Linked DNA regions of Astyanax mexicanus. The protein of the gene in region 1 interacts with the protein of each later gene in a pairwise test. Links are inferred from orthologs where the notes say so. Each region holds a gene or a part of one and is shown on either strand. Other genes may lie near its edges.

Region 1 (16,150 bases):
TGAAAATGAACATATATTAATACATGTAACATCTAAATTCTGTCTCAATTTCAAATTAAGACATATTTGAGTAGCTTATGATTTCCAGCTGTCTTAGGGGTCTAACAATTAAGAGACTAAAAAAGATGGTATTGAATTGGTTTATCGCAAAATTGCTGCAATCTTATATCATTATCGTACATGAAAAGTGGTTTTGTGCCACCCCTAAATATAATGCACATTTATGAGCAAAATGAAATGCATGTATAAGAACTCTGGGAAGGAATTTAAGTTTAAAAAAGTGTTTGCATAGGTGTTGACAGCACAGAAGAAGAGCACCAGAACAACATATAAAAATACAGAAAGAAAAACAGAGAAAGGTGGGACAACAAAGAAAAGAGCTGTAGATAAGGAGTTTTGCAAATCAGAGAAGATAAAGCAAAAGCAGGCGAATGCAAATCATAGATGTGATACAAGTCAATGAATAATGCAGTGAAAGCAAGCACATATACATAATGTGGTGGAGGTGGAAAGATGAAAGCCACAAGCAAATGCAAATAATGCAGGAAAATAAATGTAAAAGCATGATGGGAAAATGCAGGAAGAGAACATGAGGTGATCGGCTGGGCTATGTTCATGACCTAAGCCTGGACACAGACAGAAGCCAATCCTGGAAAAGACCCATAGTTCAGAGGTCAGGAATCCGTATGATATGTAGCCCCACACACTTCTATAAATTTTAATTAATGGCGCACTTTTCTCCGCCAATCCGCTAATGTTTTTACATCTCCACTGTCTAATTCCAAAAAAACAAGTGATTTTCAGGAACAAGGAGATTTATGGCTATGGCTGAAATGGACCATCTGCATTACATTGAGTAGCTAAGGTAGTTGTAATTAAGCTATCAGATAACCAGCTAGTTAATCATAATGGATCATGTGGTGTTCTGCTGCAGGTTGAATTAACAGACACGGTAAAAAGCTCATTGCAGTTTTTTTCCCCAGATCTGGACTGGATCTAAAAACATATTTTTCTTCTTTAAATCATCACTAGTGATATTTGACTCGCTAGCAGCAGCCCATGGGTTAAACTGGACTGTAGTAGCTACTGTTTGTTTCAACAACAAACAGAGATAAACTCTCATACTAAAATTTTATGCAAATGTAAACAGTTTCGTGATAAACTGTTGAAACATTACAATTATTAGGCATCCAGAGGAAACATGCACTGTTCTTTTGGTATAACTAATGATTAGACCAGTCTGGCTCCATCTCTGATCTCTTCTGCACTGGACTCCATGGACTATATGCAGTCAGTGGGTTAGACCTGTGAACCTTGTGGACAAACAAGCTGCTGCTGTCTATGGCACGACTTAAGATTATGAACACAGCCCAGTTTGAGTGGCTTGAGTCTACAAGGCTGCAGTGATGCTGGATCATAGTGGCACTAGTTTTTATAAAAGAATGTTATGTTTTAACGTTACAACAAGCTTTATGTAAACCAATAGCCTTACAATTTACGGTTAGATTACAACTTAAAAAAAAGTTATAAAAACTGAAACAAGTATGTCTAATTCTTAGACAATCTGAAAGGTAGACAGAAAGGGGGGGTTAAGGGGGTTTTGTACCCTCAGGCGCTTCCACAACTTCAATGGGAGCTTCGGCGGCATCTGTAATCGCGGCTGCGGCATCTAACAGCTCCTCTGCAGGGGCCCCTTCCGACGCAGCTTCAGCAGCAGCTTCTACAGCAGCTTCAGCCACAGCTTCAGCTACAACCTCTACAACCTCTGCCACAGCGGGGACAGCTTCAACGACAGCTTCAGTTACTACTTCAGCAGCAGCTTCTATGACTGCCTCAGCTACTGCATCAGCCACTGGAGCCGCCTCAGCCTCTATGGCAGGTGGAGCTTCTGCTACAACTTCAGAGGCAACTTCTGCAGGGGCTGGTGCAGCTGCTTCGGGGGCAGGTTCTGGTGCTGCTTCCACAGGAGGCTCTGGTGCAGGTGGTGCTGCTTCCACAGGTGCTTCCACAGTAGGCTCTGGTGCAGCAGCTGCTGGTTCAGTCACAGGCTCTGGTGCAGGAGGTTCTACTTCCACAATAGGCTCTGGTGCAGCTGCTTCAGGGGCTGGTACAGGCTCTGCTGCTTCCACAGGAGGCTCTGGGGCAGGAGGTGCTGCTTCTACAATAGGTTCTGGTGCAACAGCTGCTGGTTCTGTCACAGTCTCTGGGGCAGGAGGTGCTGCTTCTACAATAGGTTCTGGTGCAGCAGCTGCTGGTTCTGTCGCAGGTTCTGGTGCAGGAGGTGCTGCTTCTACAATAGGTTCTGGTGCAGCAGCTGCTGGTTTTGTCGCAGGTTCTGGTGCAGGAGGTGCTGCTTCTACAATAGGTTCTGGTGCAGCAGCTGCTGGTTCTGGTGCAGGCTCTGGTGCAGGAGGTGCTGCTTCTACAATAGGTTCTGGTGCAGCAGCTGCTGGTTCTGGTGCAGGTTCTGGTGCAAGAGTTGCCGCTTCCACAATAGGTTCTGGTGCAGCTGCAGGTGCTGCCACTGGGGCTTCCGGGACAACAGTGTCAGTAGTAGAAGCAATCACCTCAGGCTTCGGTGCAGCTGCAACAGACTCTTCTGCAGCTACAGCTTCCGCAACCGGCGCAGCTTCGCTTGCAGCGGCTGTTGCTTCGGCTGCAACAGGGATAGCTTCAGCCACAGGGGCAGCGGCTGCAACTTCAACAACAGGTGCGGTTTCAGCTGCAACAGCAGCAACTTCTGCAACAGGTGCTGGGTCTACAACAGGAGCAGGCTCAGGAACTACAGCCTCAGGCATAGAAGGGGCTGCAGGTGCAGGAGGTGCAGCTTGTGCAGCTGTGGCAGCTGCAGCTGATGCTGCAACCTTCTTCTGAGGGAATTCCACATAGGATTTGTGTTGAACGAGCTTTTCTATATCGAAGTACGTTTTTGCCGTGGCCTTTTCTGGGACGTAATAAAAGAAGGGTAAACATATAAAGACATTCATATTTATTTCAGGCAATCTTGCGTTATCTGACCCACTTCAAACGCTGAAAAAAACTAGACAAGTAACTTAGTACCAACAGTAAACACTAAATTTATATGCACTGACGTACAGAACCAAATAAGGGGTATATTATGAAACACTAATCCAGTTTTTGGCACTGCTGGCACTGACCACTACACAGATATGAGTATGACTAATCTAATGAAAAAGTAAGCTAATTTAAAGGGTCAGCTCTGGGCTATCAATGTCCAGTGGCTTAATTTAACTATACCTAGCCTGATGTGAGATTGATTTCAATATCTTATGTTTTTTCTAGCAAAACAAAAAGTGTATTAAAAAAAGAATAGAATAAAAGAAGGAATAGGCCTGTCAAAATAAGTACATTATATTTATTTGTTTGCTCCCCAATGTATTTTTTCTGTATTATTGAAAGTGGAGATGCATGGAGGTGCATAATTAAATAAATACTAAACAAATAATAATAAAATAAAACATATTAAAAACACTACTGCAACTAAGCACTAGTGTTACTATCTAGCCCTGTACAGCTTGTAATGCTCAGCTTATGCATATGCAACCAAATATTGTTGTTAGCCAAAAAGTGCCAAGCTTGTTTCAAGATATACCCCTCATTAAAAAAATTAAATAATATGAATAAATACAAACAATAGTTGGCCAAAATACTTGCCATTTACCATTGTACTTTCCAAAAAAGATGTCAATTAGAACCCATATTTTTTGTAAACTCTATAGAAAAGGAAAAAATTAACATTATAAATGAGAGAAGTCAAAATTCTGGAATGTAGAAAGTCTTGTGCACCTGTACTGGTAAAACATGTTAGTCATTAGCACACTGGAACCTAGAGAACATTCCTGAACTAAATGAAAGAAAGGAGAAAACACACCGCATAAATATCTAAATGTGGTACCAGCACACAATTCATTTATTTCCTGACCAGTAACCTTAAAGTGACTTATTAAAATCTTTCTTGGTCATTCTGGTGGTTTGTCAAAAGATTAGGAGAAATGGCTGCAGTTTAAATCCTGTTTGGAGTCTTTAGACATTACCCTGATAGTTATATGTCTTTATTGATCAAGTAGCAAATTCTACAACACATCTACCTCAAACAATGCAATTACCAGTACTTTTTACTGCTGTAAAACAGACAAGCAATCCTTAAAGAAATCCCAGTATCTTCGTAATGTATTTTAAAATCACACTGGCAGCAGCTGGGATCACCAAGTTAACATGGTATGGTATTCATACCCCTATTCAGTGGGGGACATTCCACAACTATCTTTGGCATTGTACAGCATATAGGTCCATAAATACTCCAACCTTTGACACTTTTCCAGTCTTGTGTACTAAAAAAATTGCAGGTTATTTGACAAGCAAATAAAGTTGCTGGTACCCAACTTTGAGCCATGACTAACACATAATACAACTTAAAATAAATACAAATAACAACAAATGAAACATTGTGTTATGGGTTTCTACCTTTGTTTGACTTTTTGGACTTCTTGCTGTCTCCAGATTTTGAACTAAAAGCAACTGCTGGAGCTCTTGTTAGTGCACCCCAGCTTTCCACCTGCAGAGCCTATAGTACAAAAACAAAAGGGAAAAGGTTAAAGAACACTGTACCAAATCAAACAAAAGTTCTGCATTTTTATCTAATTTACTACAGTGTTTGTTTCACTTATCAACTAATATAAAAAAAATATATCAAGTTGATATAATATATCAACTGAAAAAAAAAGAAAAAATGAATTATCGTCCAGTACAAACATAATTTAGATATTGTGAACTAGTGAAAGTATTAATAAATGACTGCTAACAGTACACAATTAACAGCTACACATATGGCTGGATGATACGGCCAAAATATATACCATTATATGTAATACTTTCGGTCAATATGATTCAATTCCGATATTGATATGAACAGTATAAAACAGTACAAAACAGTATCGGTTTGAATATTTGCCAAATATAGGCATCAGGGCGAGGTGCAAGGTACAGAGGTTTATATTAGAGCTGGTACCATATTGTGTCACAAACAATAATACTGCCAATTTTATTAATATTGTTATGGACAAAATACCCTAAAATAATCTCCATTTTGAAATTATCATCTCATTAAATCATATTGTAAAAATGTATTATATCTGACCAGGATCATTTATTTAACTTCAATCCTGGATATATGAAGTGTATATAAGTACTATATATGTACTATAAATATACATAGCGCATTATAAGTTTTGTATAAGGACAAGTTGGATCAATAACTTCTGTTACAGTCTGTTGAAAACCTCAATTAAAGGTGCACCAAATCCTATGCAATAATATAACCAACCATTAAATTTTGTTGCATTAGCATATTTTTGAAATTATTTTTTTGTTATTTCACGGCAATATCGCCCACCCCTAATTTATATTATATTTTACACTCTGTAATTTATTTACAGTTTATTGTACAGTTCAGTCAGAGTTATTTAGGCAGTGATTATATCCTCAATATGCATACCGTCGATTCAATAAAAAATGATCACAATACGATAAAATATCCATTTACTGTCCAGCACAAGTTGCGAGTAAAAGACTACAGCTTGCATAATTAGTGGCATTAGTCTAAAAAGACTTGCCACATTGCTATATTGGATACTACTGTGTGGATATGTGGATACTAAGTTACACAGGGGATAAACAATGAACAGTTCAGCAGCGAAATTTGGGTCTGTGGAGCTTTGAGCCCCTAAACAACACCATGAAACTACCGTCAGATCAGATTAATGAGCAATTTGTTATTTGACAGCGATTAACCAACGTGTAAATTCAGTAACCAAATACACAGAACTGCTGTTTGTGTAGTGGCATGTTTGCGTCCACTGTCTGCCTGGCACTGGATCATATAGCTTATACAGCTTAGCGGTTAGTTAACACTAACAGTCAGCAGCTGGAACACACTGTCCTTGCCCGGACTCGAGAAATTACAGCGGTTGTATCGATTGTCACAACTTCAAAAGCTCGTTAAAAAAAGTGTACACACGTTACTAATGTGAGTAAACACATCGAGACCCTCAAAACTGCCAAAAAATACCGTTTTTACCTTCAGAGAGCCGAGCCGACCTATTCTCAGCAAGGAGGCCGCCATCTTTGAGCTCCACAAATCCCTCCCTGTGGAAACATTGGCACAGTAGTAATGAGAAAAGCCCATTTTTATATTTTTATTAACAATGTTCATGATCATTTACCTTTTCTTATCTTTACTAGAAATGTAATTCACTGTACTAAGATGCCTATTGAGCTTTATAATATATATATAATATCCATAAACAAGCATATCTGACACAATATAACGTTACACAACAACCCTAGCACACACCAACGTTATATACTGAATATAGCTATCATAAAAAGTTATTTTAACTGTCCCTAGACAATATTTTATCCTTTAATAAAAAAAAAAAAAGTTATTTAGAGCGTTAGTAAACCTACCTGGTGTGCACCGAGGTTTAGTTTTGCCTGCTGTCTTGGAGTTAGTTTATAAAGATAGTTATAAAAGTTAGAAAAAGAAGATATTCAGCAGATTACTAACACTGTCTGATCTATGAACCCAAAAGCAAAGCCTTTATAAAAGCAAAGCAAGTCTAAAAGCGCCCAAACTACTACACAATCACGGATTTAAAACCCGAACTCTCCACGTTTGTGTGAAAATACCTCTGCACTGCGTGAACGCCCCCTTTCTGTTAGTTCACCTTCTCCTCCCCCTCTCCCAGTTCCCATGTTTCCCCTTTTACAGAATAAAAACTCTAAAATCCCATAATTAACTCATTCTAACCAACTGAAAATACTGCATACTTGCAACTTTTTGTATTTTAAAAATGCATTATTAACGATTATTACGATTATTACCCTTTTTATTTATTTATTTATTTTTAATGCATTTATTAATTGATTGAACTGTGTCTTACATTGAGTACAAATAATATATTTTACGAAATTCCAACAGTAGATCATAATTGTAAAATTTATATAATCGATTATTATGAGCAAAAAAAATAATTAAATTACAAATAAATAAAATACATAATATGGAGGGTTTTTGTGTAGTAGTAAAGAATAACTATTTACAATAGGAAATAATTCATTTAAATGAATAGTTAAAATAATATTAATTAATGAAACGTAAAAGACGCTTAAATACTTGTAATCATTTTTATTTGTATTTATTTTTGGTTTTATATTTTTTAATTAACCTGCATCCATCAGTCAGTGTTTGGACTGCCCACTGACATTGATGGATGGTTTTGTACAGATTCAATAATTTCATAGCACCCATGAAAATAATAGCATAGCACCCATGAAATAATAAAAAAGAAATTAAAAGTAAGTAAAAAAAATAATCAAATCTAAAATGCACAATTAATTAACGATAAAATAGATAACATATAATTATTTAAGCTTCCCTTTCACAATTACACGATTAAACGAAACAATTAATTAATTCAATCTCACTTAAACTATTTATTTCTCATTTTATCATATATTTATAAAATACCATCACAATACCATCCGTGATCACGCATTAGGATCCCCTTCTCCACGCTTTAATAAATCGCATTTCTATATTTTTTTCATGATGTCACCTTATTAACCGTTCTAATACTTTTAATAATATTTTCTACTTAAGCAAAAAAAAATATTTTAGAGCATTCAAAAACTGAACTGCAGCGGCACTACGGGCGCGTCTTAAACCACACGCACATATGGCCTAGTTAGTAATCAAGGGATTTTTAAAGCGCTACATAATAAGGGAGGTGTAGCTACCTGATCGATCTTTGAAATTAGACCGTTTACTTTAAAACATTTCTATAAAAGGCTCAGTACACACTTTAACAGCACAAAGTTTAAGATTCTAAACATTATTTACTCTGACTGTAGGCACCAAGGGAGCAGGCAGCTGAGTTCCTTTTGAGACACACCATACAGGTTCTGTTGTTGCTGCTGATGTATTAAACAGGCGACGGAGGTTCCCACGTGGTTGTGCAGTGATCATGGCAGCGGTGTGCTGTGCTGGAGACTGGCTGCTGACATGCAGTTCTCAGTATTTAGTAGCAGTGAACATCAGGCAAAGCAGGTCAGCGGCTTTATCTCATCATAGACCTTTTCTTGCTCATAAACGTCGTGGTGATGTGGGTCTGGTGCTCAGATATTAGGACTGTTCGTAGGGCTGTACCATGCATTTGAGTTCGTGTCTCCAAACTGCTCACAAACTGCTAGATTAAGCAGATGTGTTAATTGAGGCTTCTGTAATAATAATAATTTGATTGTATTAAGATGTAGTGTATTATATGAAGGCCCGTATCTCTGTGTTGTGTTACAGTAATCTATATATGTAGTAATTAAAGAAATGGCTGTGCTATATATGTGTTGTTATATCCTATGTATGTTATATAATGTATTTGTATAAAGCATATAGAGTGTTTTCTAGGGGCGTGTCATTTTGCAATATTCTTGAAAGCGGATGTTTAGTGGGCTTTTTTTTTGCCATTTACTGGATTTACGTTTGTTTGTTTGCAATTTTGTTTTTTTTTTAACATGATTTTTGTTGTTACTCTATTTTTATATATTTTTTATTATGTTCCATTATTATTGTTTTATACAAATTCAGGATCTAGATAAGTTACGGGTTAAGCATTTTTTTAATTCTATATATATATAAAACCTATATTTATACTGATACTCTTAACCTGATACTTTATACTTTTATCATTCTGATTATTATGCTGATACTGGCTCTGTATTCAAGTAGCTTAACCCTGCTGAAAAAAACAGACTCATCAGTGTATCTCTTGACCATCATAGGGTGTGTTTTTTTTTGTTGTTGTTTGTTTTAGTTTGAGTAATATTAGCTGGTCTATGAGCACAATTAATTTAATCAAGCTGGACAGCAAGACTGGTTGACCAGGATGAACATTGTTATCCAGCTGTACAACAAGCATCATAGTCAAAACATAATCAAATTTAACATTTTATATAGACTGCACTGGTGAAAGTGGGTTAACCATCTGGCTTTCCAGCATAGGGTATGTTTTCTCTGGGATGAACAACTTTTCTAATACCTTAACCATCAGCTTTGACTTTCTGAGCTTTGTATAATTTTACAATTGCCTACAAGGTGATGACAAAACAGCTCCTTCCTACCTGCATTCACTCCTGAAGGCTTACGATACCTCCCGGCCGCTGCGCTCCTCCAATGAACGTCGCCTCGCTTTACCAAACAAACATTCACACAAAGCAATCCAGACTGTTCTCATACAGAGTTCCATAATGGTGGAACAAACTACCTTCTACTACCAGATCAGGAGAATCTCTCACTATCTTTAATAAACTCCTGAAGACAGAGCTCTTCAAAGAGCACTTACTCTCTTAAAACCTCTAACACACTAACTACTTCTAACCTCATTTCCTTTTTCCCCTCCTTCCCTCCTCTATCCCATTGTTTCCCTTTGACCTCCTTTAGGCCCTTTCTAAAGATGTTTTACCTCTAACTTCTATTACTTTTGTACTTCACTATTGTAAGTCGCTTTGGACAAAAGCGTCTACCAAATGTAATGTAATGTAATGTAATCTAATGTAATTTTGACTGTGGAGTTCATAGTCTGGCAATATTTTCTGTGAAACAGGGAACCGTTCGTGTTTGATTGTTCCAAAGCAGAGCAGAAACCAACGGAAACTGAGGCTGAAAATAAAAGGTTTTCTTACTACTTCTATTTTCACTAATTGCGAGAGTTGATTTTGTTTTCAGTTTTTTATGTGTTTAAATCTTTTGATCCTACAGAGCTATAATTGTATAATATAACTTACTATATACTATGTCTGTAAGTATATACATGTGTAATATTTGGGGGAAATGTTTTATTATAAAAGTGGCACTCAATTACAACACTTAAAACAAAGAAATACAGTATTATATTACATTGACATGCCGGATGTCATGAGATTAGTAGTGGGTAAATTAATCATGAAGTGTTACCTGTAGGGGCGGACTGAAAATGGCCACACCTATACAGATTTGCCAGGGGTTATCTTGTGGTTAACTCAGGTTAAACCAGTTTAACTTATGCCAGCCTCACTGAGGGCAGTGGTATTTTCACTACGCTGTACCAACCACTTGCATCAGTGCAGAAACATTAATTCCACTCATACTGGTGCCTCTCTCCCCACAGTGATGGTGGGGGTTCTGAGGAAAAGGGAAGTGACCGGATCCTTGCCTGCACCATCTCAACATCAGGAAACTACGCTGCCCTGACAGACGACAACAAACGGCTCATTCTGTTCCGCACGCAACCATCCTGGCAGTGCATCAGCACACGGTATATTTACTGCACACCCTCACCCTGCCATTTACCATATTACACTGTATGCTGCAGGTTTGAGGATTTGATAAGAGAGTAAATGTTGCTATATCTGTTCTTTAGGTGGGTGGTGAGAAGATGTACTTCGCTGATGTTCAGTCAGGCAGAGGATGAGCTGTTTGTGGCTGATAAGTCTGGTGATGTCTATTCATTTTCTGTTCTGGAGCCGCAGAAGCAAGGCGAGCTGAAGCTGGGGCATCTCTCTATGCTGCTGGCCATAGTAAGCAATATAGATTTTTTTTTTCGGGAAAATGTTTTGTTTGATACAAATGGCTTTACAAATGCTTTCAATTTTGTTTTTCATTTAAATGAAAAGCCAATGGCCAAATTCAGAAGAAGCATCTGCACAGTCAAATGGGTGCAAAAATCACTTTAATCTGCAAGCTTTCAGTCAGACAAATTTTCCATGCGTAGATAAGTAACACATGAATTAAACAAAGCTTCTGAACAGCACTTCAGACAGCTGAACTTGTAGTAGAGCTACATACATTCATACATTTTTAATACACTTTTTTCTTATTAACATTGTTATTTACATTTATTACAGACTTATTATAGACTTGATTTTATTTTTTTTTTGGGGGCTGATAGCTGGTGCCTGATGTTAACATAGAATGTGTCTCTATTTCAATGTACTTGTTTTTTTATTTCTGTGTTACCTGATTTAACATAACTCGCTGATTTCCAGACTCTGTCTCCTGACGATAAATACATCATCACAGCAGACAGAGATGAGAAGATCAGAGTGAGCCTTCGCCAATCTCCTTACAATATTCAGGCTTTCTGTTTGGGACACACAGAGTAAGCACAAAGCACACACACACAGGCAACTGCAGCATGCAGTAGCATTAAGGCATTGATTGATTTTTTTTTATTTATATGTTTACATATAAATGTACTTAAAAAATGTTTTTGGCAGGTTTGTCAGCACATTGTTTGTTCCAACTGGGCATCCTGAATGGCTCTTGTCTGGCTCAGGGGTAAGAATCAGATTTGCTTTTGAATTTACAGCTCAGTATAGTTTTACTCAGTGTTAGAGGCTGTCTTTTTTTAAGCAGTAATCCTAATTTACTCTATTCCATGATCACTAGATATTGTAAGTACTTGTGACTCTCATAGTAAATCTTAAGTGTTTTGTTTGCAGGATGGCACATTAAAGCTTTGGCATTACGAGACTGGCCGGCGGTTACAGAGCATTAACATGAAGCAGCTCGGCTTTTCTCAGAGCTCTGAAACAGATGCTGAAAAGGTAACAACTTTTCTACTAGTTACTCTACTGTTCTTGTTGTTTCTTGTGAACAACAGGAACTGAAACATTTGTATTATTTGTGGATATGATGGTCCCATCTTCAGCATTCAGCTCCTTGTTAGTTTCCATGTGTTTAGAAATATGTTAAATATTTGTACAATACTGTACTGGAAATGCACACTCAACAGTCATCTGTACTGAAAATTAACGGCGTGTTTTGTTCTTGAACCATACACTTTATGCATTCTATGCTCTATATATATATTTTTTTCTGTATATTATTGAACATATTTCTATATTTAAGATTGGACTGTCATCAAAGCATTTCTCTGCTACTTGTATTGTGTATGACTGTTTTTTAGAAATTTGGCCTTCAGGAATCAGAGGTCAGATTCAGGAGTCTGGGCGTTCTTATTGCAACTTTATTTACATGTAGGCAGAAAATCATACACGAGCACAGCTTAGTTGGTCGACAGTTCGGTCTGTTTGACTGATTAAGAATAATACTTTACATACATTGTAAAATGATTTGAATACTGCAGGGGTGCAGGAGTAGGAAAGAGTGGAGTTCAGGGAGGGGTATGTGGGGAATAAAGTGATGGCACTTGGGGTATCATCATTAGGAGAGTGAAGGCCATCAGATGGTCATCACCTTGGTTCAATTGATAGCCAAAAAGCATTCTACAAAAATCGAAAGAAAGCACAATTTATTGTAAGCAGAATATCTAAGTATGTAAGAAAACATTTGATTTTGAGTAAATATAATTTTGGTATTTGGTCATTTTTAGCCTCAAAGGTTTGCTGTGAGTCGAATCATCAGCTCACCAAATGGACGTCATGTGGCTGTGCAGTGTGAGAGGTGTGTGTTACTTTTCAATGTTACTTTTAAAGCTTATTAAAGAACCGAACAAACCCGACAGATGGAAGTATAAATCAGTGTAGATCATTACCAGGCTTTTTAGTGATGTCGATCTTATCACTTTATTTAATTTTATCTGAACATTATTTAACTGTGACAGTGTTTTTTGATCTTTATATCTTTATAGATTTCCCTCTATTCAGCTGTTTGAGGTGAAGGACGGTTCAGAAGAGCTTTTGATCCCCACAGAGAAGCTTACTCTGCCTCACGCTCCCTGGGACATGGCCTTTGACTCTGAAGGTCGACTTTGGGTCTTGCTGCAGAACAAGGATGTAACTGTGCTCCTGTACACATACTCGCAGGACTGCTGGAAGGTATATTAACTCTTCACACACTTGAGTTTACTGTAGTAGCAGCTGCTGAAGTTGTCCACAATGTTCTCATATTGCTGCTTTGTGTGTGCGAAGCAGATTGATTCAGAAAGTGCAGATCTTCAGAGAGTAGAAGAAGCACTGAGCACCCAGTGGGACTTCTTTAAAGGTGAGGTGTCTGCTAAGAAGTTTGTCATTTTAGAACCTACATCAGAAATGAGTGTAGAAAAATAACTTTGTATAGATTTTGTTTAATAGTGTAAATATTTTTTTTTTTTCATTTTATTATTATACATTTAATTTCTGAAGTTGTTATATAATTGAATAATTCTTTAAACATAATTAATTCATGCTTCCCACTTCAAATCATATCTGTTACTACAATGCTATCTTCCTTTGTTTTATTCTTGCTCAGACTCAGTCGGGGTAGAGAGTCGCTTCCAGCACCTCTACAAGGTGAACTTTGACAACATGGCCTCATATTTGCAGAAGAAACAGGAGAGACTGCAGCAGCAGGATCAGAAAGAGGGCAAGAAGAGGACAGGAGGAAATGGCTCTCAGTCCAACGGGGCAGCAAAAAAGAGCAAGAATGAGAGAAAGAGGGAAGCAGTGCCTTCAAACTGCAGCTGAGATTTAGAACCCAGGAGAGACTGAAAATGATGTGTTTAGAATTTATTTAATGGTGGACATTCCAGCAGTAGGTTGCTTGGTTGACAAAAGTGCAACTCAGTTCTGCGTCCCTGCATTGACATTCAAATGTGGATTATTTTTACAAATGCAGAAATATGATATGGATTTTTAAAATAAATGTTTTTGTTTCAAGCAATATTTCATTGTGCATTTTGTTTGTTTCTATAGTTGTATCTCTTTAAACAGAATTATTTAACTATTTTACCTTTACAGTAACAGCTACAGATTCATGATGGTGGTACATAGGGAAGGTAATTGGGACACTATTGATTGTCGTTCCCACTCTGGACCAGAACACTGTGTAACTGTGGAGCTGTATGAGACAGCTTGAGAACATTATGCTGCATAGCCTGAGTAATATTAGCGTGAAGTCTGTACTACTTGCACATGCATCCATTACCTTCAGTTACAGTTCTGTGGTGGACCATTACTATACCGGATTATAAGGTGCACTATCAAAAAATTACTATTTGTTGGTCTATTTTCATACATAAGGCATATTATGCAACACTAGTAAAGAACAAGCGTTTTCCCACGTTTTCTTTCTAATTTGGCAGTAAAGCTAAGTAAACAAAACCTTTCTTTAAAAAAAAAAAAGATTTTCTTTTAAATTGAAACGAGCACTGGATGTTAATCTACACAGATTTCTCTCCTAAAAACTTTTAATTTAGGTGAGTAAAGCGTTTTTGTTTATTGCAGTAGGCTTAGATTTCCAGATATCCACTGAGGCTGGGTGGAGCAGCATTAGCATCAGCAGCTAACTGCTAGTGCTAGATGTGGTTAGCAGCTAATGTTGCCTGACATCGCTACACTGAGGTAACGTTACTCTGACTGTTTTGGAAAGTCAGGGCGATATTAGCTAGCGTTTCGTTCCACATAGCTTGTTTTAACATGGTAAAGACGCAGACTGCAGTTCAATTTACTCACTTCTGAAGAGTAAAAGAGCTAGTGCTTAGCACAGTTAATGCTACTGCTGCTCCAGCAGTGCTAGGTAGGGTTAGCAGCAGGCTACAGCCCGATATACTCACCTCTAAATGGCGAAAGAGCTAGTGCTTAGCACGGCTAGCGGCTAATGCTAATACTGCTCAAGCCTTAGTGCTGGGTAACTAAATTGAAACTCCTGTATAACTCTGTACTTTAGTGGAGTGGACAGTTTTTGGTAAAATTAAAGGATTTTAAGTAGTAGGATTTTATAGTACGGTTTACCGAAAAATACGGTAAAAGGGCCCCTACCAAATGTTTATGAATTTAGGTATAACTAAACCAAAAGGTAGAAAAAGAGCTACATCACTTGTGAGATAATGTGACTCTAAACCTTAGGTAAGCTCAGACATGTTGATTTTATGTAACATACAGAATTTAAACGTAAATCTAAAGATCTGAATCTAAAACTGACCTATTGTAAAATCTCACCAGCAGTTTGTGAAAACATACCTCACACCAGGGAATCTGGTGCAGTCACAATGAGACTGCACATAACTGCACCTCTTCATATGTGACGCAACCACTGTCCTTGTTCTTAGAGCCAGACAGACACTTCTGTGTGACACTACTGATGACATAACCATGTTTTCATCAGGGATCTCTGTGGGCTTCAATCAACATGCTTACTTCCCACCCGCATAGTTTCAGCATGGCAGAGGCAGCCAATCTATTCCTCTTCTTATCTTCTTTTATTCATGCCTTTTACATTACATATTACAGTGCTCATCTAATATAAACAGCATTCCACAATCATCATTAGTGATTTATTAATATATTGATCTTGGAATTCTAAGAATTTGTCACAAAGCACCCTTGGTATGCAGAAATGTTGTAAAATGTAATGTATTAAAACTAGTGTCAATCGATTTAAAAATGTAATCAGATTAATCACAACAATATTCTTTGATTAGCTGCGATTAATCACACTTGTTCTTCTTAAGATGCACATTTTTATAGTGGGCATTTAAATGTCAATAAAAGAATGAATGTAAGAAATGTAAAATGCAATCATATTTATATTAGTGGTGTCAATTAAAATACTAGTATATACTTGTATGTTTGAGGAGGGATAAAACCAACATCGGGCACTGGAATAAAGAATGCATGATTAATTGGATAGAGAAAACTTTTTTTTTTTTTACTTTATTGTAAATATCTCAGCTTGGTTGTAAGGATTTCTGAATTAGGACTTAATGTAGTTGGTTTCTCTGGTACTGATCAGTTAATGAGTTCATTTACTTCATCAGTTGATGAGCGTTTCTCCCTCTGTTTGATTTGGTTTCTTACAGGCATAAACCTAAATGCACCAAAACAAACAAATTGTTTCCTCTGATTGGCCAGAGCTGTCTAGTGCGGGTGCAAAAAAGTGAATTCTGTGTTCCAGCGCGTATATCTGAGCAGTGTGAAGCTGCTTTAACACAGAATGCTAAAGAATTGCAGCAGTGAATGCTGCACATACTGAGACCAAATCATGTTCTCATCACAAACAAACTGCTCCAGAAAAAGAAAATGTGCATGTTGGGCGGGGACGGGGCAGATTACAATGAAAGTTGGAGTCAAACTTAGTGCTGGAATTAAATGCATTAAA
Region 2 (16,103 bases), on another chromosome or scaffold:
CTGTGCTATAGGTGAGGAAGATGTGTCCATGTACTTTGGTACAAGGATACTCATAATATGCAAATCATTCAATCAATAATGTTGCCTGCTGGTGAAGTTCCAATCATCTGGGTCTCAGCCAATCGGTTTGGCCCTGCCCTGCCCCTAAACCCATACATCACCCAGTACCACTCCCAAACACCACTCATTTTTTTTAAGCATTTTTCTAATTTAATCTGAGAAAGGAGTCAGCTAAAATCAGGGGTGTAGTTACCATTTAAAAGCTGACAGAAGTGTTTGAATCTAATTTTGTTGACTTTTGATAAACCATTTAAACTTTTGAAATATGGATATGAGCCAGAAGTGAAAGAACTGGTAGAGAGCTTTGAATATGTGGCCCTCAAAATATATAGATCTTATTTAGTTATTTTGAAATAAATTTGATTTCACCTGCAAATTTCACCCCCTCACAAATTCAAAAAATTGTATTTGACAGCTTTCATCTGCACATGCCCAGATAAGCCATACAGTTAAATATAGTATGTGGGATTCATCAATGTAGAAGGTGTATAATACAAGAAAACACAGTAAATGAATGTTGATTTTTAGTGGATTTTAGACTAAATATGTTGAGTCTCATTTCAGATTATACATTCATGGCTTGCTCTGGTTTTGTGTGTTCAGGTATTTCCTGCTGACCCGCACAGACCCCGACCCCAAGTGCTCGGCCAGTAAAGCGTTCACAGGCTTCATCGTGGAGGCGGACACTCCAGGAATTCAGCTCGGCAGGAAGGCAAGACCATTTCAGTCCTGTACAGCTGCAGCTGTGCTGAGTTCACTGTCCCGCCTCTAATAACCCATTCAGCAGCTAACAATGAGCTCAGAGTGTTAACCCTTTAACCCCGCCATCAAACCAGCAGCACCAGTTTTACCAAGACAATGCCAGGGCAGTTCACCAACCACTATAGTTGTTGTGGACGGGATCTGCTGGGTATAACATGGTATATCATAGTGTTGGGCAATAATAGCCAAAAAAAAACAATTCTTTTTTTTTTTCACAAAAAAATCAGATTTTCGATTATAATATTTTTTTTCCCCTACTAAAATTCAAACTACAGATGACAAAGAAATGGTTCAAAACTAGGTTTATCTGTAAAAAAAAAAAAAAAAAAAAAACATTTACGCACTCAATGAAAGAAAAAACAGAAAAAACTTTTGTTTTCCACAATTAATCAGGGATCCTCACTGGAGAGCGATGATACTGCAGTTTGTAGAAACAGTAGGGGTGTTTGTGTCTGTATGTAAAATCACGATTTACTCCCTTTTGTAAATCGCATAAAAACTGTAATTCGAATTAACCAAAATAATCGTGAAAATCACCCAGCACTAGTCAATAATGATAGTAAAATTAAAAAAGGGATTGTTTTATCCTCAAAGTAAAAACTGGTTTATGTTATTCCACTAAGATTGGTTGTTTTCAAAAGATCAAATTAAATTAAATAAAACATAATATTAATAAACTGCAATCATGTACTAACTTGTGTTACCAAGTAACCAAGTGTTAACCAGCTACAATGATTAGTAGATCGCTGGTTCGAATCCCGGTCATACCACTTGCCATCAGCTGCTGGAGCCCTGAGAGTGCACAATTGGTCTTGCTCTCTCTTTGGGTGGGTACAGTAGATGGCGCTCTTTCCCCTCATCACTCCTAGGGTGATGTGGATCAGCACAGGGCATCTGTGAGCTGATGTATCAGAACCGACTGGCTGCGCTTTCCTCCGAGCGTTAGCACTGTGATGCATCTCGGTAATGCTGCATCAGCAGCAAAAAGAGGCCGAGTCTGACTTTACATGTGTTGGAGGAGGCGTGTGCTAGTCTTCACCTTCCTGGTGTTGTGGCATTACCAGTGATCAGTGGGTGGGACAATTGGCTAAATTGGCAAAAACCAATAGGAAAAAGTGTTAAACAAACCAGAATACTCTGAAGAATTTAGGTGCTTTTATTTAGGGAGCTGCTAACTTGTTTTCTTGAGTTCTTGATTTTTTTTTTATTTTTTTTTTGTCTAGTAATGAAACCGTGTGAATAAATTATGGTCCTGTTCTCTTTCTTGATCACTGATTGGATGGTGTTTGAGATGGCATTACCCTCTGATATTCCTCCCTCTGCCCACAGGAAATGAACATGGGTCAGAGGTGCTCCGACACCCGGGGCATCACCTTCGAGGATGTGAGAATCCCCAAAGAGAATGTGCTGATTGGAGAGGGGGCGGGGTTTAAGATCGCCATGGGTGCTTTCGACAAGACCAGGCCTCCGGTAAGAGTCTCCTCCCATCAGTTACACTCTAGTGTCAGAGCAGCCAGAGGACCATGTGTACCATCTGTACCACGTCCAGCTGTGCAGTGCAGAAGACCTTTGTACTGGAACTGTGTAAAACAATGACCAGGATCAGCAGTTACTGTGAAACCAGCAAAGCTGCACAGTCAGCATTAGAGACGAGCAGTGTATCTTAAATATCAACATGTTTAATATCTTGTGTAAAATATACAAAATATATAATATTGCAATATCTCACTTCCTAGTATCTGTGTGAGATCAGTTTGTGGAAATGATTTGACTTCTGCAGGGATAACAGTTACAATAAGTATTGTTTTTTAATTATGTAGTAGAAATATTTTATTTTACAATCTCAAACATCTTAACATCCAGTGCAGTTTTATATTCATTGATTAAAAGTATAATAAAGTTATACTTGCTAATATAGTGACATTTTTACTATTAGAATTTACAGCATGCTGTGCTTTTGGTATTATATAACAGCAATTCTGCATTTCTCCTAAGCACAAAGAGAAAGGAGTTTTTAGTCACAAAGCCCAGATGTAGTCAGCAGTTAGTAGACTAGACCAGGGTCATATTTTCCAGAGCTTTACTGAGCATGCCGGTAATGTCTGTCTATAATGGATCAGGATGGTATCCGGACAGTATTGGGTCAAAGGTTAAAGTTATGACACTGTTATTTAGACACTGTTATTGGATGAGACTGTGAAGATCAGGTTCTATAAATAGCTGATTTATTTACAGTGCAGCCAGTGTCCTCTGTTATCACAGATTAATAATGGTTTTAATTCATGGCAGTATATATATGTTGCAATAACTATGCATACAGCTTTGGAAAAATATGAGACTCCTTAATTTTTTTATTTATTTTTTTTATTTTTGACTGCCCAAAAATCAGTCTCAGAAAATTAGAATATTATGTAATACCAGTTGGTGTCATATAAGACAACTGGCCACTGTGCCAAGTCCTGCTGGAAAATGAAATCTGCATCTCCATAGAAGTTGTCTATATATGTATGTATGCAATGTATATAAACGCACAACTTTTATGGAGATGCACATTTCATTTTCCAGCAGGACGAGAGTCTTAATGATTAAAGATAATTGGGATATAAAGAACTATGATTTGGCAGGGGAAGGGGTTGATCATTATTGTTCTATTTAGTGTTAATTGCTAAATAAAATTTGCCCCTTTTACAGAATGACTGGCAACCCTAGTTAACATACTGTCTGGTTCCTATAGCAGTCTTTGCTATGTAAAAACTATAGGCAGTATTGAGGTCATGTAATGAAGCTGAATAATTTCTGTAATAATTGTGATAGGCCTACATACAGATTATTAACAAAAATGTTATTGTGTCAGGGTGCATTTGTAGCTTTAGTATGGGGCAAATATACTTTTAATATATTCATTTAAATACACACTTTCAGGTTGCTGCGGGTGCAACAGGGCTGGCCCAGAGAGCGCTGGATGAGGCCACCAAATACGCCTTAGAGAGGAAGACGTTCGGCAGGTTCATTGCTGAGGTAGGTGATTTCTCTAATGCTCTAATTATTAACAAAGGAGCCGAAATATTTCTTTTAATTATACGTCTTTTGTTACTTTTGTTAATTAGACACTCCTGAGAAAGTAGTTATGAGGTGAGCCATAAAAAAAATTAACTGTACACTGCTGTAGTCCCCCCTGCACTTCCTGTAGTGTATTACAGTCTGTTAGAACAAGTGTGTGAATAATGAGCATTATAGGGCTCCCCCTACACTTCCTGTAGTGTATTACAGTCTGTCAGAAGGAGAGTGTGAATCATATGAACATTATAGAGCATTATAGAGCGCCCCCTACACTTCCTGTTGTTTATTACAGTCTGTCAGAATGAGCCTGTGGATTGTATGATTATAGAGCGCCCCCTACACTCATCATATGAATATTATAGAGCATTTTAGAGTGCCCTTACACTTTCTGTAGTGTATTACATTCTGTCACAATGAGTATGTGGATCATGTAAACGTTATGTAGCATTATAGAGTGTTCTCTACACTTTCTATAGTGCTTTACATTCTGTAAGAAACAGTGTATGAAGTGTGAGTATAGAGCACCCTCTACACTTCCTGTACTGTATTACAGTCTGACAGAATGAGCGTGTGGATCATATGAACGTCATTACAGTTTGTCTTTTATTTTATTCCTCCAGCACCAGGCCGTTTCCTTCATGCTGGCAGAGATGGCCATGAAGGTGGAGCTGGCCAGGCTGGCCTATCAGAGAGCTGCCTGGGAGGTGGATGATGGCAGAAGGAACACTTACTACGCCTCCATCGCCAAAGCCTACGCCGGAGACATCGCCAACCAGGTCGCGAGTGATGCCGTCCAGATCTTCGGTGGGAACGGATTCAACAGTGAATACCCCGTGGAGAAGCTTATGAGAGACGCAAAGATTTATCAGGTTAGAAAAAGAATCAGTAGTTAATACTTTTTTTTTACTTTACAGGAGAAGGCAAATATGTTCTTATCTTTCAATTGAAGATAATGTAAATTAATAGTTTGTACTTAGTACTTTTTGAGCTTTTTTGTTGGTCAGTTTCTTTAGTATTATTAACAAAGTGTACAAAGAGACAACAGCTTTTAAACTATGTAAAAAAAACTAAAAACAACAAGGGTCCATATTTTCAGTGCAGCGATATATTTTGATTCCCATCTCAGCATTGTTCACCAGAATTGTCAGTGGCAATGGCATTTCAGCAAAACTGGGGCTATCTTTTTTTTTTTATTATTATTATTATTATTATTATTTATTTATTTATTTATTTATTTCTGAGGAATAATTTGTTTCTGCTTCCTTTCTTTTTCAGATTTATGAAGGAACGGCCCAAATCCAAAGACTCATCATCTCTCGAGAGCATCTTGGAAAGTATAAGCAGTGAACGTATCTCAGCACCTTCACCGGGAGAAGCACTCCTTAGTCGAAAGGTGTAGTTCAATAGGATTCATATAATAAATGGTTGTAATCATAATATATCACTTTCAGGCAGTTAAGAGGAGCCACGGTTCAATATTTCACCACAGCCATATCTTATTCTAATTGTTTATACAGACACTTCCATAGTCTTGCTGTGGACATTGTTCTGTTCTGTCTATAGGAATGTGATGAGCAGCTGGATTGTAATCCTAATTGCAGTGAACTTTCCGTCCGTTAGGGTGGAGTCTTTTTGTCCTGCGTGGCTCTGAATTCTGTTTATACAATAATAGGAATGGATCTCAGGATTGTTGCCAATGTCGTTTTGCCTTAATCATTTTAACATTACTCATGTTTGTATATTCTGTAGGACAATTGTTGGTTAAGCATTAAACTGAACAAAATAGAACTCATAATAAAGAACACAATACTTGCGTTTTTTTTAAATGGTATGTCTTCCAAAAATAAATAAAGATGAACAATTCTGTCAGAAATACAGTCAAACTGTTTCTTCATTTTTTTTTTCTTCTTATTTAAGTTCTCCAAATCTGCCACAGTGACACTACAAAGAAAAGAAGAGAGCACCTACAGTCAAATAGGGTGGAGGTTGCTGCAACACACTTTCAAACAAGATTTGCCTAATTTGACTGTGTGTAGAATACTGGAAGATTTTGGGTGGCATTGTAGGAGCAGTGTCGGAAAGCTGGTTTTGTGTCCTAGGACATAGGCCTTCCAGCAAGACAATGACCCAAAATTTTTACTTTACAGAAACAAAACAAGCAAACACCTTATTTTTCAGTAAAAGTCAAGTTAAATAGATTTTATTCAGTGATGTTGGAATATTTCTATTGGTCCACTCACCATTAAATTCTGATAGAATAAATCAGATTAATCTACAATAACATTAGCACTCCCTTATTTTTTACATTTTTTAGCATATCCCCACAAGAATTGTCTAAAGTTCTGGAAATGTTTTGAACCAGTCGTTGTCTAGAACATCCTTATTTGGTCCTTATTAAAATGTCTCTAATTCTTATACTTGTCTATTTTTTCTGTTTCAACAAGTCAACTTCAAGAACTGACTGTTCACTTGCTGCCTAATATATCAAACACTGAAAAAGTGTGATTGAGTAAATGAGTGCAAGCAAATGTTTAGGCGCACTAAACAAAACACATTTTGTTGTTTATTTAAGTGAAAATAAGTGACCAAATGTATGTACCCTTTTTAAACACAGAATTCCATTGCATTATTTTTCATTTTAGAAAAATAGTTCAGTATTATTTGTCAAAATTCTTCAGTTTAAGTCATATGCATATGACTTCAATGAACACATCATTTCAAAACTACAGACCCTTCTACTGCTCTCTGTTTAGACAGATTGGTGTAAAATAAAATTCTTTAGATTGAGGTCTATGAAATGGATAGATAGTCATACATTCCTTGGTCATTGCACTTCGCAGTTCCACAAAAATAATTAGCAACCCCAAAAGTTTTCATACACACAGTTTGCCAAAATGTACATGAGTAAGCCAAAAACCTTTCTAAAAAAATGTCTTTTGTGAACACATCATTCTGCTGTTTACCAAAAATGGATTTGCTGCCTTAAGAACTGGGTGCCTTGACTTTTGCCAGGCACCATGAAGTCTGAAGATTACCGAAGGGTGGCAATGTTGAGCCCAGTGTCAGAAAGCTGGGTTTGCATCCTAGGTCATGTTCAGTGTTGGGAAGTAACGGATTACATGTAACGGCGTTACGTAATCAGATTACAAATTATAAGTAACTGTAATCCGTTACAGTTACTGCTTCAATAAATGGTAATCAGATTACAGTTACTCTGCTAAAATTAAAGGATTACATTGCGGTACTTTCCTATTTTTGCTCTTCCAACACTGACAAAACGCAAATAACATTTTGCGGTGAAATCGCTCTGATATGAAAGGGAACTGTCTGCCCCTCGTCCCATCTCGCTGCACACACACACACACACACACAGGGAGGAGGGGCAGACAGCGGCTCCGCACACACAACGAGACGAAATTAACTGACATTTTGGTCAACGAATAAAAACAAGACGAAAATGTTTGGCAGGGACGAAATCCAATCAGAACTGATTTAGTTCTGTGAAAGGTAGGGACCAGTTAGGAAGAGATCCAATCACTGCTACTTTAGCGAAGGTGGAGAGGCGGGATAAGCGGGGTACTCATCCAATCAGTACCCGCCTCTCCTTCAGTAGCGTCGCGCGCTCAGTTACAAAATTACAAACTGTCGCTACGGAGCTCGACTGGAAGTTAACTCGACAGTGTTCAGCAGGGAGAGAGAGGGGAGAGGCGATATATTTCTCCTTTGACGTCGCGAAAAACAAGATAACGTGTAAACCGCGTGGAGCGACTCAATCTCCGGTAAAAACACCACTAATCTTTCAGCTTCTGCAGACCAGAGTCACACAGATCTCCATGCAGAGATCAGAGTTTTAATGCTGATGTTATTTCATGAGCTGATGTGTTTAACTCGGCAGTGCACTAAAACACAGAACTGATACAGAACCCTAACTCATTAAGATCAGATCATCTGCTTAGTCTCACAGTGGGAAAGATATAGCTAGTGTTAAAGCAGGAACAGGTCAGAAAGGAACTCAATAATATAACCAAAATAAAACAATAAAATAAGTGAATATATGAACCCAAAAGTCTGTGTAAAGTTCCTTACAGCACTTTCTCATAAGTTTCTCACTTTAACTCATGAAGTCTCTCTGTACATCCTGAGAGCATCTCTACAGGACAGTGTGTGAAGGTGTGTTTTTGATCTCATTTATAGACTTTAGCTCCAGTAGGTGTGCTGGGTTAGTGCTGGAGATAAAACTAGATCATTTAAAAGCTGTTTTTGCATCTACAGCTCTGTTTAAACTATAATTTAACTATTCAGTTGTTTTATGACCTGATTTCTAGAGCAAAATTTTAAATGTAAAATATATATAGTCACACACCTATAATAATAATAATATACATTAAATCATATATAAATATATTTCACATTCAAACATTAACAATATTACTCAAGTGGTTATTAAACGTTTCATTTCATATAAGTGTAGAGTTAATAATTCAAGGGAACTGATGAAAATGCATTTACATTTACACCCTTTACATTTTAGTCGACTAAATTTACTGTAATTTTAGTCGACTATATTATTATGACATTAAGTCGACTAAAACTAAGTTGACTAAATTACTAAATTGTGACTAAAACTAAATGCTATTTTCGTCACAAGACTATGACTAAGACTAAATCAAAATTTGTTGTCAAAATTAACACTGGTGGCAAACCTGCAAATAGATAGCTTACAGTTGTTGTTACATTGTTTGGTTTTAAATTGTTTTATTATCAATTTATAGAAGTGTTTCATAAAATTGTTTGATGAAATGGTTTCATAAGTATGTTTATAGAGTGATTGAAAAGGCTTTTTATTTGTTTATCTATTTGTTAACTGGAAAGAAAAATAAAAGAATAATATGCAATATGTGGTTGCTACATTCATTCAGGCTTAAAAAAACGACAATATTGTAAGTAATCCAAAGTAATCAGATTACGTTACTCACTTGAAGTAATGTAACTGATTACGTTACAAATTACATTTTGAGTGATGTAATCAGTAATCTGTAAGGGATTACATTTTAAAAGTAACCTTCCCAACACTGGTCATGGGTCTTCCAGCAAGACAATGACCCAAAACATACTTCAAAAGGCACCAAGAGATGGATGGAAAGAAAGCGCAGCCAAGTTCTGAAGTGGCCAGCAATGAGTCCAAATCTAAATCCCACTGAACACTTTGTGGAGAGATCTTAAATTTGATGTTGGGAGAAGAAACCCTTCAAATATAAGATGTTTGTTGAAGGTTATAGTAACAGATTGAGTTACTTCTACTACAGAGTAAGTACGGAGCTTAATGAACAATTCACAAACTTTTACTGTGTTCTGTGTCTTTAGTACTTTATGTATCTCTTAAGCATGTGAAATAGATAATATGTAATACATACATATTTTTGCCACATTAATATAGTCACTAAAGTAAAAATAATATTTAGTGGAAAAAATACAAAAAATATATACAGCTCTAGAAAAAAATGAGACCACTTAAAAATAAAGTTTTTTTTTTACTTTACCAAATTGAAAACATCTGGAATATAAACAGGAGGAAGATGGATGATCACAAGCCATCAAACCAAGCTGAACTGCTTGAATCTTTGCACCAGGAGTGGCATGAAGTTATCCAAAAGCAGCGTGCAAGATTGGTGAAGGAGAACATGCCAAAATGCATGAAAATTGTGATTAAAAACCAGGGTTATTTAAAAAAAATATTGATTTCTGAACTCTTAAATCTTTATGAATATGAACTTGTTTTATTTGCAGTATTTGAGGTCTGAAAGCTCTGCATCTTTTTTGTTATTTCAGCCATTTCTCATTTTCTGCGGATAAATGCTCTAAATAAAAATATTTTTGTTTGGACTTTGGAAGAAATGTTGTCCCTAGTTTATAGAATAAAATAACAGTATTCATTTACTCAAACATATACCTATAAATATACCTATTTTTTTCAGAGCTGTATATTTAGAGAATCGCAAAATGTGTAATTTGAAAATGACCCATCAGAGCCTCTGTAGTGACGTGTCTGTCCAGTGTGGGCATAGCTTTAGCATTAGCATTAGCTGTGGAGCAGGATGGTGAGTGACTCTGTGTGTATTATTATGCGTTTGTAAGCTGTTATTAAGATCGTTTTAGTCAGGTTTGAGTTGTCAGTGTTTATCAGTGTGTTAGGTGTGTTAATATTGGTACATTAAGTTAATCCTGTAAGTAAAACAACACAAATTCAGACAGCGCCGTGTTTGAATTTTCCGTTCCACCTTAAATGCTACTGCAGTTATAGTAGTAACGCTTTGGCAGCCCTAAGTGAACTTCTGCGGCATTTAAGGTGGAATGGAAAAAATGAATAAAACTTGAAAATAGCTCGATATCTAGCGTTAAAATATATTGTTTAAAGAAATGTAGAGGTTTCTAATAAAGAGTTCTATGAGTAGAAATATGAGGTTGATGTTACTAAAAGGTTTAGAAGTATGAGGTAAATAAGAGTAATTGTTTTTGGACAGAAAACTAATATACAGCCCTAGAAAAAAGGAGGAGACCACTTCAGTTCCTGAATCAGTTATTCTGATTTTGCCATTTATAGGTTTACGTTTGAGTAAAATGAACATTGTTGTTTTATTCGATAAACTACGGATAAAATATTTCCCAAATTCAAAATAAAAATATCATCATTTAGAGCATTTATTTGCAGAAAATGAGAAATGGCTGAAATAACAAGAAAGATGCAGAGCTTTCAGACCTCAAATAATGCAAAGAAAACAAGTTCATATTCATAAAGTTTTAAGAGTTAAGAAATCAGTATTTGGTGGAATATCCCTGTTTTTTAACCACAGTTTTCTTGTATTGTGGCATGTTCTCCTTCACCAGTCTTACACACTGCTTTTGGATAACATTATGCCATTCCTGATGCATGATATATTGCACTCATTCCTGATGCATGATGCTGCATCACTTCAGTCGTCTCTCTTCTTAACCTTCGTAGCTGTGTTCTCTGCCTGATGCATGTTAATAATTTTACCCATCTGAAAGATTAACATCCTTTCCACAACCACAGGATGCGTCTTTCCACATGGTTGTTTAACAAATGAGAAGCTACTCATTGCGTCACTGCTTACATAATCATGTATTCAGAAATGCTCCAATGGGAGGCTCTTTTTTTACTTAGTTAAATGCAGGTGGTGACTTTTTTTTATAGCCAGGCACATTTTTGCACTCTACTTTGGGATTGTCACTTCATTTTGTTGTACTTTGTTCTTCGACAATAATGATCTCTTCTGTCTTTCTGTCTGTATGAATGTAAATACATTTTTTTGTCTTATCTTTTGTCTTACAGGGGACTCAGATTAAAGACGTGGTCATCAAGTCTGATGCCCCCAATACTCTCTTTCTGGATAAGCATGCTGATTATATAGCTGCCTATGGCTCCAAAAAAGATGATTACGTAAGTTTTTGCAGCAAGATGTAATGTAACTGAACGCTTACATCTGATGAAATGTATAAAATGTTTATAGAAGTGGCATTTTTGGAGGCAAACGTTAGAAAAAAAATCCCAGCTTAATAACTCAAGAATGCCTCAACACGCCAGCAAAAAACATATGTATGGCTAGAAAGAGATAAAAAGAAATCCTACAGTTTCTAAAAACTGCAGCGCCCTCACTCTCTAAGAATCCGTGATTGATCCATTGTGAAAAACACTTAATAATGCATGTGTCTTTAAAGTTTCGTTCAGAGTAATTTTCTGTGACTCATTTACTCAGTTTTAATGTGTTCTGAAGTGTAATCCAGTGTCTGAGCCTCTGAGCTCTATGTTGTCTTTTTGTTTCTACCTTTTTCTAGCCATACATATGGTTTTTGCTGGTGTGTTGAGACATTCTTGAGTTATTAAGCTGGGAATTTTTTTTCTAATGTTTGCCCCCAAAAAATGCATCTTCTATAAACATTTTTTACATTTCTTCAGCTGTTTTTTTTTTACACAACGTCACAACCTGATATCAATGCAATTGTTAATCGATTGTTTCACCTTAAAGCATCCAATCAACACACAAATCACATTATATTTTAAATGCCTTAATTACCCGATTTCTCTGCTTTTAAATGATCAACTGAATTAAAACACAGATCAGTGACTCGGTTCTTTTCTTGAACTTTAATTCCAAACTTCACTAAGTGTTTTTTTTTGTTGTTTTTATTAGGTTTTTTTTTTTAGATATTTTCTTGCTCTCATCTCAGACAGCACACAGTCAAACCTAATTATTAAACAAATTCCATAAATATTATGTTCTTACATCATGTTTTTAATGATCAACTGAATTAAAACACAGATCAGTGACTCGGTTCATTTCTTGAACTCCAAACTTCACTAAGTTTTTTTTTTGTTGTTTTTATTAGTTTTTTTTTTAGATATTTTCTTGCTCTCATCTCAGACAGCTCACAGTCAAACCTAATTATTAAACAAATTCCATAAATGTTATGTTCTTACAGTAGGAGGCTAAAGTACCTAACAATTCATGTAAGGTAACCTCTAATAGACTGATAGTGTTGTTCCCCTCTGCTCTGCAGGAATACACTCTGTCGGAGTATTTGAGGATGAGTGGGATTTACTGGGGTCTGACTGTGATGGATCTGATGGGTCAGCTCCACCGTATGAACCGAGAGGAGATCGTCGACTTCATCAAATCCTGCCAGCATGACTGCGGAGGGATCAGCGCCAGCATCGGCCACGACCCGCACCTGCTGTACACACTCAGCGCCGTGCAGGTCACACAGTCTACAGCTCTCAGATCAGTCTAACAGCCAGAACACTAATGATCAGTTACAATGTGTTGGCTTATAATTTGTTTGTTCAGAGATTTGGGAGAATAGTTTATTATCACAGCCATAAATATCAGATGAACTTCTGAGTGGTAGAAGCTGTATATAGACCTGTATGTTTATTTTTCAGATCCTGACGTTGTATGATAATGTTAAAGCGATCGATGTGGATAAGGTTGTGGATTATGTTCGAGGACTTCAGCAGGAGGACGGTTCCTTTGCTGGAGATAAATGGGGTATTTCTCAGCTAATAAATATATAAAATATATATTCACACTGTTTGTTATTAAATGAAAAGTATGTATGTCTAACTGTTTGTGTGTCTTTTTTTTTTCTGTAGGTGAAATAGATACCAGGTTTTCCTTCTGTGCAGTCGCTACCCTGGCACTACTGGTAAGATCAGTTATTACAGAAACATCAGTATTTAATGATGTCGTGCAATTGGCTCTGTGCACAAGATGGCGCCACCTAACTTCCGGGTAGTGAGTGGTAGGTATACTAGTTTCCGGTTGGAGTTGTTGTGGGGAGAACTGCCGGCAGGAGTACAGCGTGAAAGCGACCATGAGTGTTTTTAAAGTTAAGGAGAAACGAAAAACACAAAACAAAAAAAACTGACTGTGTTATTTTTATAATTAAAGGATCCTCTATAAAAATTTGGAGACACTGGGAAACATACCAAACTGTTATATTTTAATAATAAAAAAAAAAAAATTAAATTCAACAACAATACTATTTCATGCCTTTATTTCCAATAACGAAGGCAATGGGCCAGTTTTTCTTTTATAAAATTCATTACTGTTGGTCACATGAAAAGTTTAAGGCATATTTACAAGCTTATTCAATAAAAATAAATAAATTGACCCATAAGAATCCAGAGCCAGTTTTGAATACAAAAAAAAAATACAAAATTGATTCAGGTAAAACAAACGTTGTTTACATATTATTGGGATAATGAGGGAACACAAATATTTTACGGTTTGAATACTAATGTAATATAAATGCATATTAAACATTAACAAACAATTTTAGAGAACTTCTGGGTTAATCACACACTGAACTGTTTGAAACTAAGGATATACAATAGTAAACAACTATATATCTCCCGATGCCAGTATAACTTACAGAGGGTCTAGACACAGGGTAGAACTTATCTATCTCTCTCTCTCTATCTATATCTATATATACATAATTATTTATAAATAATATATATATATATATATATATATATATATATATATATAATATATATATATATATATATAAATAATAATATATATATATATATATATATATATATATATATATATATATATATATATATAATATAAATATAAAATATATATATATACAAAATATAAATATAAAATATATATATAATATATTATAAATAATGGGTTCTGGGTTAATCACACACTGAACTGTTTGAAACTTAGGATATACAATAGTAAACAACTATATATATATCCCGATGCCAGTATACATTATACATATTTATAACTTACAGAGGGTCTAGACACAGGGAATAACTTAAAAATAGATCAAAAATAATATTTATATATATATATTCTCTCTTACTCCTGGGCGCTGTACATCATTTATAGTTATTTTTGGTAAGTCCTGGAGAGATCGCGTGTAGAAAGCCATACTGTCTGCTGACCGGCGCTGAAAAGCGGAAATGACTCCGCCTACCAGTCGTAGACCGGAAACAGGCAGCGTCGTCTCATGCAACTAGCGAATTTATCTCACCTTTATAAAGAGAAAAAAGAACTGTTTTAACTTTCTATTGGTCCATTTGCCGTTTACCTCAGGAGTTGGCTGTTTGAGTTGGAAGTGATGTCACATCTAAGTTGACTGCGCTCCCAATAGACAATTATATTTTAGCACTTTAGTTAAAATTTTATACTTTAAACTAGGAAATTTCGACAATTGAGGTCAAATACTATGCTATCAGATATGGTGATGATAAACACTGATATATTGTATATTGTGTTGGGGTGTTTCAGGGCAGGCTGGATGCGGTAAATGTGGAGAAGGCGGTGGAGTTTGTTCTGTCCTGTATGAATTTTGACGGGGGGTTCGGCTGTAGACCCGGCTCTGAGTCTCACGCTGGACAGGTCAGACACACACACACACACTGAAATAAGAAACCCTTTATACAATAATGTTATTCTTGGTGATATGACAAATCACTGGAACATATATATTAATTTCAAGAACATACTACTGCAACAAAATTCATGTTAAAGTTCAAAAGTACAGTAGAAACAAATAATCTGTCTTAAACTTTTGTCTATTTTGCAACAGTAACTTAACAAGACTTGAGTTGTATAAAATAATAATTGTTCAAAATAATAATAATAATAAGAAGAAGAAAAAAATAATAATAATAACATCTTTTTTTATTTAAAATAAAGAAGTTAAACGAATAATGTAATATAAAGTGTGTGGAATTAAAAAAAAAAAAAAAACTACCGCAATACTAAAATGTATAAAGATATTTGAATAAATTTCAATAATAGTCTGCTGCAACAAAATAAATGTATTTATTATTATTATTATTATTATTATTATTATTATTATTATTATTATTATTATTATTATTATTATTTATTTTTTAATCACATAAAAAAATATTTTGTATGAAATAAAAAAGTAATAAAGTAATAATGTACTATAATATTTATGCAATGCAACAAAAAAACATATCACAATACTAAAAGTATTTTGTATTTTTATTTATTTATTTGTATTTATTTATTTGTATTTTGTGTCTGTTTTGTATTTGTATCTATCTATCTAAAATACAGAATATAACTGTAAACATAACAATTATACAAAAAAATGCCCTTAAAGATCAAAATGCAAATCAAGTACAGATTTACTGATTTTGATGGAGAATAATGCTAGCAACACTATATAGATTTTTTTTTTATTTATCTGTATGTGAGAGTTAATTTTGTAAACTGTATTTTTCTCTGTTTCTGCAGATTTACTGTTGTACGGGTTTCCTGTCCATCACCGGTCAGCTCCATCAGGTGAATGCAGATCTGCTGGGCTGGTGGCTCTGTGAGAGACAGCTGCCGTCTGGAGGCCTCAACGGGAGACCAGAGAAGGTTTCCACATCACAGTCTTGAATTTACATATTTATATACTCTATTTGCATATTGGGAGAAAAAAAACAAAGGATAGTTTTTAAGGGACGTCAGTGTGAAAATATTTCATTTTCAGTAATTTTGGAGAGAAAAAGATATACATATTTTTTACACTCTTTTTATTAAATGTTTTAATATTTTTTTCCCCACGTAGTAATGAATGAAATAGTAAAGTGATTCAGACTATGAAGAAACACATAAGGAATCATGTAGTAACTTAAAAGTGTTAAACAAACCAAA

Evidence for each region.
Region 2: the proteins of wdr4 (region 1) and rabggtb interact in binary tests that used the Homo sapiens proteins (3 or more experiments, as listed by UniProt). The two-hybrid records come from large-scale screens. The link is inferred for Astyanax mexicanus from reciprocal best matches to the Homo sapiens genes WDR4 and RABGGTB.

The regions. Positions count from the first base shown.
Region 1 is NC_064418.1:42,009,434-42,025,583, reverse strand, and holds wdr4 (tRNA (guanine-N(7)-)-methyltransferase non-catalytic subunit wdr4), read left to right. Parts: upstream 1-8,026; 5' UTR 8,027-8,045; coding exon 8,046-8,128; intron 8,129-9,677; coding exon 9,678-9,746; intron 9,747-10,220; coding exon 10,221-10,367; intron 10,368-10,472; coding exon 10,473-10,629; intron 10,630-11,097; coding exon 11,098-11,210; intron 11,211-11,328; coding exon 11,329-11,389; intron 11,390-11,553; coding exon 11,554-11,658; intron 11,659-12,446; coding exon 12,447-12,517; intron 12,518-12,704; coding exon 12,705-12,891; intron 12,892-12,984; coding exon 12,985-13,057; intron 13,058-13,303; coding exon 13,304-13,518; 3' UTR 13,519-13,716; downstream 13,717-16,150. Other genes in the region: si:ch211-140m22.7 (skin secretory protein xP2), read right to left, coding at 1,607-2,944, 4,486-4,585, 6,098-6,165, 7,922-7,976. UniProt on the Homo sapiens protein: Non-catalytic component of the METTL1-WDR4 methyltransferase complex required for the formation of N(7)-methylguanine in a subset of RNA species, such as tRNAs, mRNAs and microRNAs (miRNAs).
Region 2 is NC_064425.1:41,690,542-41,706,644, forward strand, and holds the start of rabggtb (geranylgeranyl transferase type-2 subunit beta), read left to right. Parts: upstream 1-9,914; 5' UTR 9,915-9,977; coding exon 9,978-9,980; intron 9,981-11,233; coding exon 11,234-11,341; intron 11,342-12,459; coding exon 12,460-12,657; intron 12,658-12,841; coding exon 12,842-12,947; intron 12,948-13,051; coding exon 13,052-13,104; intron 13,105-14,714; coding exon 14,715-14,825; intron 14,826-15,698; coding exon 15,699-15,824; intron 15,825-16,103. Other genes in the region: acadm (medium-chain specific acyl-CoA dehydrogenase, mitochondrial), read left to right, coding at 664-772, 2,152-2,292, 3,745-3,840, 4,503-4,751, 5,158-5,229. UniProt on the Homo sapiens protein: Catalyzes the transfer of a geranylgeranyl moiety from geranylgeranyl diphosphate to both cysteines of Rab proteins with the C-terminal sequence -XXCC, -XCXC and -CCXX, such as RAB1A, RAB3A, RAB5A and RAB7A.